2 linked regions of the Solanum lycopersicum genome follow. The protein of the gene in region 1 interacts with the protein of each later gene in a pairwise test. Links are inferred from orthologs where the notes say so. Each region holds a gene or a part of one and is shown in the gene's direction. Other genes may lie near its edges.

What was found.
Region 2: the proteins of transcription factor E2FA (region 1) and transcription factor-like protein DPA interact in binary tests that used the Arabidopsis thaliana proteins (3 or more experiments, as listed by UniProt). The link is inferred for Solanum lycopersicum from reciprocal best matches to the Arabidopsis thaliana genes E2F3 and DPA.

What each region holds. Positions count from the first base shown.
Region 1 is NC_090800.1:2,211,557-2,217,613, forward strand, and holds the start of transcription factor E2FA, read left to right. Parts: upstream 1-2,220; 5' UTR 2,221-2,432; coding exon 2,433-2,675; intron 2,676-4,501; coding exon 4,502-4,691; intron 4,692-4,863; coding exon 4,864-4,914; intron 4,915-5,016; coding exon 5,017-5,102; intron 5,103-5,174; coding exon 5,175-5,263; intron 5,264-5,376; coding exon 5,377-5,431; intron 5,432-5,618; coding exon 5,619-5,671; intron 5,672-5,749; coding exon 5,750-5,800; intron 5,801-5,889; coding exon 5,890-5,938; intron 5,939-6,039; coding exon 6,040-6,057. UniProt on the Arabidopsis thaliana protein: Transcription activator that binds DNA cooperatively with DP proteins through the E2 recognition site, 5'-TTTC[CG]CGC-3' found in the promoter region of a number of genes whose products are involved in cell cycle regulation or in DNA replication.
Region 2 is NC_090808.1:4,495,694-4,501,706, forward strand, and holds the start of transcription factor-like protein DPA, read left to right. Parts: upstream 1-2,623; 5' UTR 2,624-2,902; coding exon 2,903-2,907; intron 2,908-3,686; coding exon 3,687-3,833; intron 3,834-3,944; coding exon 3,945-4,012; intron 4,013-4,127; coding exon 4,128-4,171; intron 4,172-4,952; coding exon 4,953-5,018; intron 5,019-5,100; coding exon 5,101-5,241; intron 5,242-5,629; coding exon 5,630-5,698; intron 5,699-5,825; coding exon 5,826-5,924; intron 5,925-6,013. Other genes in the region: beta-glucuronosyltransferase GlcAT14C, read left to right, coding at 916-1,430. UniProt on the Arabidopsis thaliana protein: Involved in the regulation of the G1/S transition. Increases the DNA binding and the transactivation activities of E2F proteins after heterodimerization. The complex DPA/E2FA promotes cell division and acts as a regulator of the endocycle.

The sequences.
Region 1 (6,057 bases):
AGAAGCAGATTCAGTTAGCGAGTGTAAGATATCTATAACAAAACTACGAGGTTATGTTGATGACGAACAAGTTGATAGATATTTATTGGTATACTTGGTGAACCAGTGTTGAAAATCGTATTGATTTCTATCATTCCCCGCCTTCTTGGTCCTACTAATGTTGCACCGTCATAGGAAACTTGAAGAATCAATGATCATTCTAAATATTTGTAGCATCTAGAGGCTAGAACTTTGATGCATCGATTGCTTATTATACCGTCCTTGTTTCATATAGTCGATGTAAGTTGTGATATGATCATACAATTTGGAGAGTACATTAACCTGATGTTCAGTGTGCCTTGACATATGCTATATTTGGCCTAGGACTTGTCTACTGATATTCATAATGTGATTAGTGTTTGTTTTAGTTAAAGATTTTTCGAGGGTCCTTTGGAAACAACCTCTCTACCTCCACGAGGTAATGGTAAGGTCTGCGTACATTCTACCTTCCTCAGACCTCTCTTGTGAGATTCCACCGTTTATGTTGTGGTTGTTGTTTAGTTAACGATTTTCTCAGTACTGGCACTATAATCCTCTCTGGTTTCTCTGTAGCAATAACGTTATCGTCTTTGATTGGTGATTGGTGAGTACTTGAGAGTAGCGTTGTGATCTCCTGACTTACTTACTGTGAAATTTTAACTTGATTCTGCATCATACCAGCCCTTCCCCGGATCCTTCGTGAATGCAGGATTCTTTGTGCATCGAGTTGTCTTTTTTCTACGTTACGTTAGACGTATGAAATAAAACTTAACAGGATGTAGTGATCTACTCTTTGGGTTATCTCTTCATCATCTCACAGGCTGTACTGTCTATGTTGTGGTTTCTGCCTGTGTATACTACTCTGGCTATGTTGCTTGGACTCTTTTAAAAATATTGTTTCGTGTGTGTCGAGCACCAACACAACCCTTCATGTCATTCGAAATGAAACGATTTTATCCTCCTTTAAAATTGTAATAAATCTTAAAATTTCGTAGCATCGAAAATGAATTATAGCTTCTATTTTTGAAACAACAACAATATATTCAATGTGACCTAAAAAATGTGACATATGGATTATGGAGGATAAATTATAAGCAAACTTTACTCTCATTTCATGTAAGGTAGATAGGTTTCGGATAAACACTCAACTAAAGAAAAATATTTTTTGTAGAATCTACGATAATAAAAATGCAAAAAAGAGAAGTATCTAAAACAAAAATAATAAGATTATAAGAAAATATAGGATTAATAGTAGTGATTAGTATAAGATGGGAGTAGAAAAGTTGCTCCTACTATTAGGATGGGCATAAATATTGAAAAATAGAGGAATTTAAACGTAGTTTTATCAATGTACGTTACGTAAGAAACTCATTTTCATCCTTGTCCTCCTCGCGCAGCAGAGTGACGCAATAATTAAGTACAATAACTGTTCCATATTGACGAGACACGTCATCATTTAGCATAGTTTTAAAGATTCTTAAATATCTCACACTTTTTTAATTTTACCCTCGTTTTATATTCTTCATTCTCATCGAAAAATTCATTTTTAAAAACAAATTGAAAAAAAACAAACTGAATTGAACTAGTTTGGTTCGGTATTCAGCGCACACTTTTTCAAAACTGCAAACAAAAAAAGTTGCTCCTATTATTAGGGTGAACATAAATATTGAAAAATAGAGAAATTCAAACATATTTTTATCGATATACATTACGTAAAAAACTCATCTTCGTCCTTGTCTTCCTCGAGCAGCGGCGTGACACAATATTTAAGTACAATAACTGTTCCATATTGACGAGAAACATCAATCACTTAACATAGTTTTAAATTTTCTTATATATCTCACACCTTTTTTTTTATTTTACCCTCATTTATTCTTCATTCTCATCGAAAAAATCATTTTTAATTGAAAAAAACGAACCGAATCGAACTAAGTTTGGTTTGGTATTCACTCCACACTTTTTCAAAACTGCAAACCAAAGAGCCAAACGACGAATGGCGAACGCCACCCCTACCTACTAGAATCATGTTTCTTCGACGTAACTTTCTACCCTAATTTTTGACTTCCGTCATTTGATCGCCCAAAAAAAATAAAAATAAAATAGTAAATTTTTTACCAATAGAAGGGTCAAATTGCAAATAATAAGTATTCATATGGACCAAAATGAATAAAAACAAAACATTAACATTTTCTCTTCCCTCCACATATATACAAAAACCAAAATTCCCTCCCTTCCCTCGTTTTCTCCTTTTTGCCTTTCACAGAGAAACCCTTACCCCCTACCCCCCCCCCTTACCCCCTACCCCCTTTACCCCTACCCCACCCCCACCCCATCCCCTCAGAACCCTTCTCTTCAACAATCCAAAAATCTTGAGTTCAAAGGGTATATCTTTTGATTACAAAACTAGGGAAAAAATGACAGGTTCTAGTGCATCCACTGGTGGGGCGGCGCCACCCACTGCTCAGTCATCATCCGCCGTTGTAAACGGTGGAGGGAGGAGTCAGATCTCTCATCCGATCAAAAGATACTTACCCTTTGCTTCTATGAGGCCACCTTTTGTTACACCTGAGGATTACCACCGATTTTCTATACCTGGTGTTGATTCTAGAATTGGGTCTGCTAGTTTGCAGCCTGAAGCTATTGTGGTTAAGTCACCTGTGAGTTTGTTGGATTCTTGTTTGAGTTATTAGTGTTGTTTTTTTATGGGGATTGCTGTTTGATTTTGTGTAGTGGGTTTTTGTGTTTTGAAATATGGGAACTTTAGATTAAGTAGTTGAGACTTGAAATTAGATGTTTTGAAGAAATATATCTTGTGGGGTTTGATTAAATGTAGCTAAAAAGATGTAATTTTGAGTTGAATTGTTGCTGTTTTTGTGCATTTTGCAGTAAATAGCATTCTTGTTTGAGCTTATAGTGTAGTTGTTGGGGATTGCTGTTTGATTCTAATAGTGGGTTTACGTTTTGAAATATGGGAACTTTAGATTAGAGGTGAGATTAAGGAGTGGAGACGTAAATTAGAGATTTCGAAGGAGGATATTTTGTTAGGTTTGATTAAATGTAGCTAAAAAGATGTAATTTTGAGTTCAATTGTTGCTGTTTCTGTGCATTTTGTGTTTACTTGCATTCTTGTTTGAGCTAATAGTGTAGTTGTTGAGGATTGCTGTTTGATTTTATTAGTGAGTTTTGCATTTTGAAATATGGGAACTTTAAATTAGAGGTGGGATAGAGTAGTGGAGACGTGAATTAGAGATTTCAAAGGAATATCTTGTGGGGTTTGATTAAACGTAGCTAAAAAGGTGTAATTTTGAGTTCAATTGTTGCTGTTTTTGTGCATTTTGTGGTTACTAGCATTCTTGTTTGAACTAAGATTGTCGTTTATGGATGCTTTTAATTGGGATTGATGTTGGACTTTGGTAGTGTGTCTTGCCTTTTGAAATGGAACTTCAGATTATAACTGGGATTGATTAGTAGAGACATGAATAAGATATTTTGAAGAAAGATATATTGTGGGGTTTGATTATATGTCGTTAAAAAGGTGTAATTTCGAGTTAAGTTGTTGCTGTTTTGTGCATTTTGTGGTACTTGCGATTTTGTTGATCTGCAATATTTGTATTTCAATGTGTGAATAACTTTTGAGGCTAATTATTGTGGTTGGAACCTGGTATTGGGTTTGTTAAGCTAATGGATGGTATTTGGTATGTAGCTAATTGGCTTTTGTTGGGTTAAGATGTTAAGCTGCCTTTGGTTTTTCATTTCTAATTTCCCCGGAGGTCATTTGCCTCTTGTTAGCTGAAACATCCAGATACTGCTGGCTAAATTTGGTAAAAAGGAGTAAATGAGTCAAAGTGAGTTGGTTGTGATTTATGCTGTTCTGTCATTCATGTTTGCACACGTGACAACCAATTTGGTTACATAGTTGAACATGTAATGTAGCTTTGTTGATCTTATAAACCTCATGAAACCTGAATGCCATTTTCTTTTTGTATGTGGATATTATTGGTGTCATTCATGTTTTGAGTCCTATTGATAGCTAGAGAAGATTGAGTGGGAGGATTTTTATTGTTTGTTCATCTTCAGAATTAATTCCTTTGTTTAAGTAACAATTGGGACTTGTTTGTGTTCTCTAATTAGTTAGCACTAAATTAAACTGAAGCTCTGTTAGTTATGGCTTTCCTTCTATAGGTATATTATTTTAGGTGTGAAAGGTTTAGTGCTTATGTCTTGGAACCAGCCTCTCCATAAGGAAGTTATCTGTCTACAGTCACCTTCCCTGGAGCCTGCACAGAGGGAGCCTTCTTACACTGCTGTCCACCCTTGTTGTTTATAGTTTGATAATTGTGTGCCCAAGTCAAGAATTTTTTAATTCTATATACTCTAATTTATCCCAGGGAAAATTCAGAGTTTAGTCGTAATTGTTCCTCAGTTTGCTATGTTTTACTTGTTGATCACTTATTTCTACTTTGCACACTTAATGCGCCTGTAGGCACTAAAGCGGAAGACAGGCTATATTAAAGAGGTTGAGTCCAGTGACTGGACTGCTAATTCCGGGTATGCAGATGTGGCCAATAGTCCTCTTGGAACGCCTGTGTCTGGAAAAGGAGGAAGAGCACATGGACGGTCAAGAGCCACAAAAAATAATAAATCTGGACCTCAAACTCCTGTCTATAATGCTGGTGAGGCTTGTGTCTAATTTTTTATGTCTTGATTGTAACTGGACACGAGTAAATGTTCAAATTTTATTTCCCTCCGCATCTATCTAAACGTTATTTATAGAAAACGGTCTGTACTGTCTTGGTTGCACTGGTTTATATGGTCTTAATTAACTTGTGGATTGCGATTTCGCAGGTTCTCCTTCTCCCCTTACACCTGCAAGCTGCCGCTACGACAGTTCATTGGGTATTCCATGATTTTTTGCCCAGGGATTGATTTGTTGTAAAAGTTTTTATGGAAAACGTGAGTTTATGGTGGAATAAACCCAAAATTGAATCTTCTGTTCAGGTCTACTAACCAAGAAATTTATCAACTTGATCAAGCATGCTGAAGATGGTATGCTTGATCTTAACCAAGCTGCTGACACTTTGGAGGTAATATATCATTTAGCAAGAAGTTTTCTCATTGCATTGTTAAACTCTGATTATAATTTTTGGATCATACAGGTGCAGAAAAGAAGGATCTACGATATAACAAATGTGCTTGAAGGAATTGGTCTTATTGAAAAGAAGCTCAAGAACAGAATACAATGGAAGTAAGCTAGCTTTGCTTGGATATAAACACATATTTCTACTTAGACACTTCTTGCAGTGATCTGTTAATCATCCGAAGCTATACTGATGTGAAAATTCCATAATCACTCCTTAGGGGTGTTGAATCTTCTAGACCTGGAGAAGTGGATAATGATGCTTCCATTTTAAAGGTATTCGTGTATGCTTCCTAAACTATTTGATTGCTAAGATAGTGTCTTCATCTATGTTATGATAGATATCCACTGTTAGACTAGTTTTCAGCGCTTGAATAGAACTCTAGTTGTATGAGAACTTCACTTTGAAGTAATGTATTATCCAAAAATTGAACTTTCTAGTAAGTAGCTTGCAATTTTGCAGGCCGAAACTGACAGACTTTCAGTGGAGGAGCGAAGACTGGATGAGCGGATTAGGTCTGTGGTTTGTCAGAGTCAAATGTCTGTGCTTCTTTCTTGAACTATGTCATTGTGCTGATGTTTGGATTATTGCAGAGAAATGCAAGAAAAGTTGAGGGATATGAGTGAAGACGAAAACAACCAAAGGTAACTTCTTGTAACTGTCCTAACTACATAGTTGTAACCTAGATTTGATGTTTCGCTGTTTGTTGACGACAATTTCAACTCTGAATTAGGTGGCTTTTTGTAACTGAAGAAGATATAAAGAGCCTACCTTGTTTTCAGGTTAACTTTGCCATTTATGTGTTTTTTTTATAGCCATTGTATTTTTGGAGTGATCTACTCAAAGAACCTATGAATTAGTTTATACTCTTTAATCACGGCAGAATGAGACTCTAATAGCA
Region 2 (6,013 bases), on another chromosome or scaffold:
GATGTTGGACAATGATTACTTTGACGTAACTTGGATGACACACTTCTTCACCTTTTTACGGCAGTGAGGAGGGGGGAGTCAGGGTGTAGCAGCCTGAGTAAGTGGTCGTGGGACTAGAGTTTCATCATCTTATCTGAGTAGCCCTTTTAATTAGCCATTTTTCATCTTCTGTTGTGATCCCATTACTTGTTACCTTCTAATGCAAAACACATGTAGATGTCAGGATACACAAATTTGGACTCGGAAAGTAGATAGCTTTCAAGATGATTTTCCAACAGTTTTCTCATAAATGCTGTATATAATCAAACTAGGAGTGAGTTTGCTGGATCAGGAATCTGCTTTCCTCTTGATGATTTTGTATCAAAATGATATTCTTGATGCCTTTCAGATTCTAAGCAAAATAGTGTGGCAACAAAAACTTGTGTAACATAGATAGATGAGGTACGGCCATTCTTTTGATGATTAATTGACACTTTTTTATGCTTTCCAACAATAAACATATATATATATTAAGGAGCGTATTCTAAGGTAGAATTTTTGTTGAGTCCCATATCGGTGGGATGAGGAGAAATTGGTCTCTTGTCAGGGTCTTGAGCAATCCTCACCTTTTGAACTAGTTTTCAGGCTTGGGCTTGAGTTAGGTCTAAGGTCCATAGCATGGTACTCGAGCCAGACCCCAAGATGTCTAGTACTAGGCGTGAGGAGGTTTTGAGTCCCACATCGATGGGATTAGGAGAAATCGGTCTTTTTATATTGTCTTGGGCGGTCCTCACCTCTTGAATTGCTTTTGGGGTGCTAAAAGATACTACTACTACTCAAATAGTCATATAGCTCAATGCTAAAACTGTTAGCTCCTTTTTTTTCGTAAAAAATTGTTTCCCTAATAGTCATTTGCTGTTTTGTTTTCACTTCCAGGATCTGAATGGGTGATGCTCTCGAGGCCATTCCTTGAGTTCTGTATTTGGGGTTGGGACAATCTACCGCGCACTCTTCTGATGTACTACACAAATTTCTTGTATTCTCTTGAGGGCTACTTCCACACCATTGTCTGCAATCACAAAGACTACCAGAACACGACAGTGAACCACGACTTACATTACATCAAATGGGACAATCCCCCAAAGCAGTATCCTATCAATTTAACACTGAAGCACTTTGAGGACATGATCCAGAGCGGTGTCCCCTTTGCTCGTACTTTTGCTACTGATGATCCAGTTCTCGATAAAATTGACAAGGAAATCTTAAGAAGGTCTCATGGCGTGTTTTCGCCAGGGGCTTGGTGTGTCGGAACTTCTTCTTTAGGTAAAGATCCTTGTATAGTTTATGGCAGTGTAGATGTTGTCAAACCATCAACAGGCTCAAGAAGCCTAGAGAAACTTGTACTTAAGCTCCTTGATACTGAAAATTTCAGGTCAAGACAATGTAAATAAATTATACAAAACTCTTTTATTGCTCTTGAAAATATTTCTTCTCTTTTTCATACTCTTTTTGCCTCTTTGCTTTGTATAATTATTATTTGACATGATGAGAATCCTTTTGTTTGTTCTTTGGTTATAACAACATATATACCTAATGTGATCCATGACTGGTTTGCGGAGGGTGGTGTATACGTAAACTTGTAAAAGTTGAGAGATTGTTTTCGATAGACTGTTCAAGAGGTCCACCTAATGTTCGTATCAATTGACTCACAATTACTCCTTTGCCACAACTCACAAGTTAAAAATCTTAAAATTTATGTTACTATAAGAACTTATTCGATGGAATCTCATAAATAGGGTTTGAGGAGGGTGATTGTATGCAAAATGGCATTCCTAATGAACTGTTTGTGATCGACCTTCGGCGTATGTTTAGCATATCTAGAAAAAAACATATAATAATAAATAAGTCACACAGAAAATAATGAAGAAAATACAATAGCAATAACAATTAATATGATAATCAAAACGAATTAATTATAGTATGGAAAAAGAACAAATATATCCCGAACTATCATAAATAGTATGCATATACCCTCTATCATACTTTTGAGACATTGCCGCCCCCGTTGTTAAAAAACTAAAGCATATATTCCCTTTATACTAATAAACATACACGTATCACAATTTTATCCATCGACCCGATATTTATCAATATCAAATCGATAGATAATATTGCGCCATGTGTCCCTATTTAGTCTTCCGTTAGAGTGAAGGAAATATAAGCTATATTTTTTGGACGGCAGGGGCACCAATGTCCCAAAAATAATAACAGAGGGTATGTATATGCATACTATTTACGATAATTCAGGGACATATTTATCCTTTTTTCCCTTGTAGTAATTAGTATATGATAAGAAAAATTAGACAACACTCGAAATACCTGCTAACGTGTATACATAATTCCGTAGAGTATATGTGAATCTCCTCTTCACATATTCAAACCATCTCAGTACCGAACCGATCAACCGAGGGTCAAAACCGTAAAAGACAATAGAGAATGAAATAGCGGGAACACAAGCCTTTGACTTTTAAGGTCATGTTTGGTCAAATTGTCTGTTTTTTTTTCTTTTCTGGTACTAATAATAATTGTCTTTTTTTTTCGACCATTTCAGTGTTGTTACTGATTCTTGTCTTCAAGGACACTCAACTATCAGGTTCTTCACTTTTTTTCCCTTTTTTTTTATTTTTTTAGGATAAATTATTTTAGGGTTTATTTTTGTTGTTTGAGATTGAAATTCAATTGTGAAATTTGGTACTTTTATATCTCAATTGATTTGTTTTGTAAATTGTGTTAACCAAAAAAGGGGAAACTTTACTAAATTTCAATTGATTGTTGTTTAATTTGTAATTTCTGTAATAATGTCTGATTCTGTTACACAAATTGAGGTTGCATTTTGGATTTGTGGGTATTAATGTAGAATTTTATGAGGTTAGTAACTGTTTCATAAGTTTTTTTTTCAATCCTACTGTTTGATTAAATGGTAAAAAACACATTTTTTTGCGAGTTTCTTATCTAACTATCAGTTGTTTCCTTTTTTTTTTTCTATTTGAACTATACCTTAAAACTATTTAGGCCAATTACTAGTTTTTTTTTTACCTGTCACTGTCTAGTCAACTAGGTGTGTTTTAATACGTAGATGTGTATAGTTTTGGTAGAAAAAGGGAAAAACGGATAGTTGCGGTGTGAAACTCGTGGAAAAAAAAAGATAGTTCAGGTGTGTTTTTGACCATAGTAAGGTTAAACGTTTACGAGTTGAAAGTCTCGTATATGGTTCTTAGATGGGGGGGAGTTTTATGATTGGTTTGAAGAATGTCTCAAGATTCAAGCAATTGCGGATGATATTATAAGTAGTATATTCATGTTCCTCCCACGTCGTAATATATTTTTATTGTTTGTTAATAGTTATGCTTATTTGTTCTTTTAGTACAAGTAGCTATTTGAGTTTGCTATGAATCTTTACTATTGTCCAACCGTTGGTTGAGGCTTTTGCTTCGTATCTTCTTGCTTGCAATTGCAAAGAATTGTACTAACTGAGTTGTTCTGGTCGACCTACGAAAGCATCAGTTAAATTACTGTACTGCATCAATTCATAATGAGTTGGGGTTAATTATATTTTTATCCTTTGTATCCTCATGAAGGAGTACGAGAGGTTAAATTGGTGTACTAACTCCACGATGTCATGTTTTTTCTCCTTTTTTTGTCACAAGGAAATCTGCTTGTATGATGGATGGCGAAACCTCTGCAAGCACTATTCAAGGGATCAACCGGAGACGTTCTGAGGGCAAGAGTTCATTTCGAGCCACAGCAGATTATGATGACAAAACATTGCATGTTAATCAGCATAGACAGACTAGGTGATTTAATTAACTGATAAGTACTTTTCTTTCTCTTTTATTTTTCTGTATGGTTATGAAGACCTATAAATGGTTTCTAATTCCTATATATGTTTATGAAATTTTGTAAAGTGACACGGCAAAGCTGAAGAAAGGCTCAAAAATTGTCGGAGGAGGTCTAAGACAATACAGTATAATGGGTCGGTGATAATCTAAGGAATGCTTAATGTCCTATACATATGGCCTTTTGTGGGTAACTCCTTTTGTTCTGGATAACGATTTCAATTTTTTCATTTTTAACTTGTCAATTTGCAGTTTGTAAGAAGGTGGAAGATAAGGGACGAATCACATACAGTGAGGTAAGTTTGACCCTTGTTCTGCTAGACTGAATGACCTATACACTTGAAAAAGAGTCTTGCGAAGGTAGACCTAGTCTATACACTTGAAAAAGAGTCTTGCGAAGGTAGACCTAGTCTATACACTTGAAAAAGAGTCTTGCGAAGGTAGACCTAGTCTATACACTTGAAAAAGAGTCTTGCGAAGGTAGACCTAGTCTATACACTTGAAAAAGAGTCTCGCGAAGGTAGACCTAGCCTATACACTCGAAAAAGAGTCTCGCGAAGGTAGACCTAGCCTATACACTCGAAAAAGAGTCTCGCGAAGGTAGACCTAGTAGATATCTATCCTATACATCATAAGTATCAAACCTTCTCAGTCTTCGCAACATTTCTATCTTCATTTATTTTACTAAGAATTACCTCCTAGTATCTCTATTCTACTGCATATAAGAAACGATCTCTCCAACGCATAAATGGTTGTGCTATTTATGAGTAAATGACTGCTTGGATTTTTGAACTTCAATTTATTGCTCGCTCAATGAAATGTTGCAATATTGAACATTATTCGTCATGCTTAACAAAAAGCCTATATGAAAATTGCTTTTTTGGTAGAGATATGGTGGTGTTGAATCTTAAGCTAGAAGAAAAACATTGTACCACCATATATATTTTAGGCGCTTACACAATTCATCCTTGCTAATGTGAAAACTTACCTTTTCTCCTCTGTCTTGATTCTTGTTCGTCTTTCTGGATTTTCCTAGTATATGCATATGACATATAGATTATCATTCTTGATATATAGGTTGCAGACGAAATCATAGCCGAGTTAATGACAATGGAAAACAGTTCCTCTGTTCCCCTTAATGAGGTTAAGTAGAGATCTCAAGACGTTAATTATTTCTTTTCTCCGTCAACTATGATTTGAATAGAATGCTTTATAACCTTTCCAGTCAGATGAGAAGAATATACGCAGACGAGTATATGATTCGCTCAATGTCCTTATGGCCCTTGACGTTATCGAAAGAGATAGAAAGGAGATCCGCTGGAAAGGCCTTCCTAATTCAGATGCAAGGGACATGGAGGAAACTAAGGTTAGCAGGTAGCTTGAGATTTAAAAATTTATCATCATCTCTCACTATCTTTTGTATGTATGCATAAGGCTTAAGCTTTATGATCGTACGCTGATGGAAATCTTGGACTGTTTGAAAGCGGTTGCTTTAGTTGCTAAGGGTGAAACTGGAATTGTGAGATGCCTAAACTGCATTGATGAGCATAATGGCAGTCTAAAAGTATATATATATATATGTGTGTGTGTGTGTGTGTGTGTGTGTGTATATATAACTGATCCTAGTTGTATAAGAATGCTTAATTCCTTGGCCTCATTGAGAAGCGGGCCTGCATTACAACTGATTCCCACATTTCTGTATAGACTCACCGTGTCTTTCGATGATATTATATAAAAAATCTGTATTTTTCCAGAAGGGGCATGCAGAGTTATTGGCGAAGATTGGGAAGAAAGCTGCATATCTGAAAGACTTGGAAGAGCAAGTATGTTCATTGTCTACTCCTTTCGTACCAAATGTCATAAGCTCTTCAAATAAACATCGAAAAAACACTACATTCACCTAACTGAATTGTGGCAATGATCTTTAACTTTCTGCACATATTGGGAAAGCTTGCAAGTCTGCAAAATCTTAAGCTGCGGAATGAACAGTCGTGTAAATCTACAAATGGCCCTTCACAAGGATTCTCTTTGCCATTTATACTTGTTCAGGTATAAGGCTTTAATTTTTCCTCTGAAATTACTGCATCTAGTTATTTTACATGGTAGACACTTCGATTATGCAATGATTAAAGTTAATG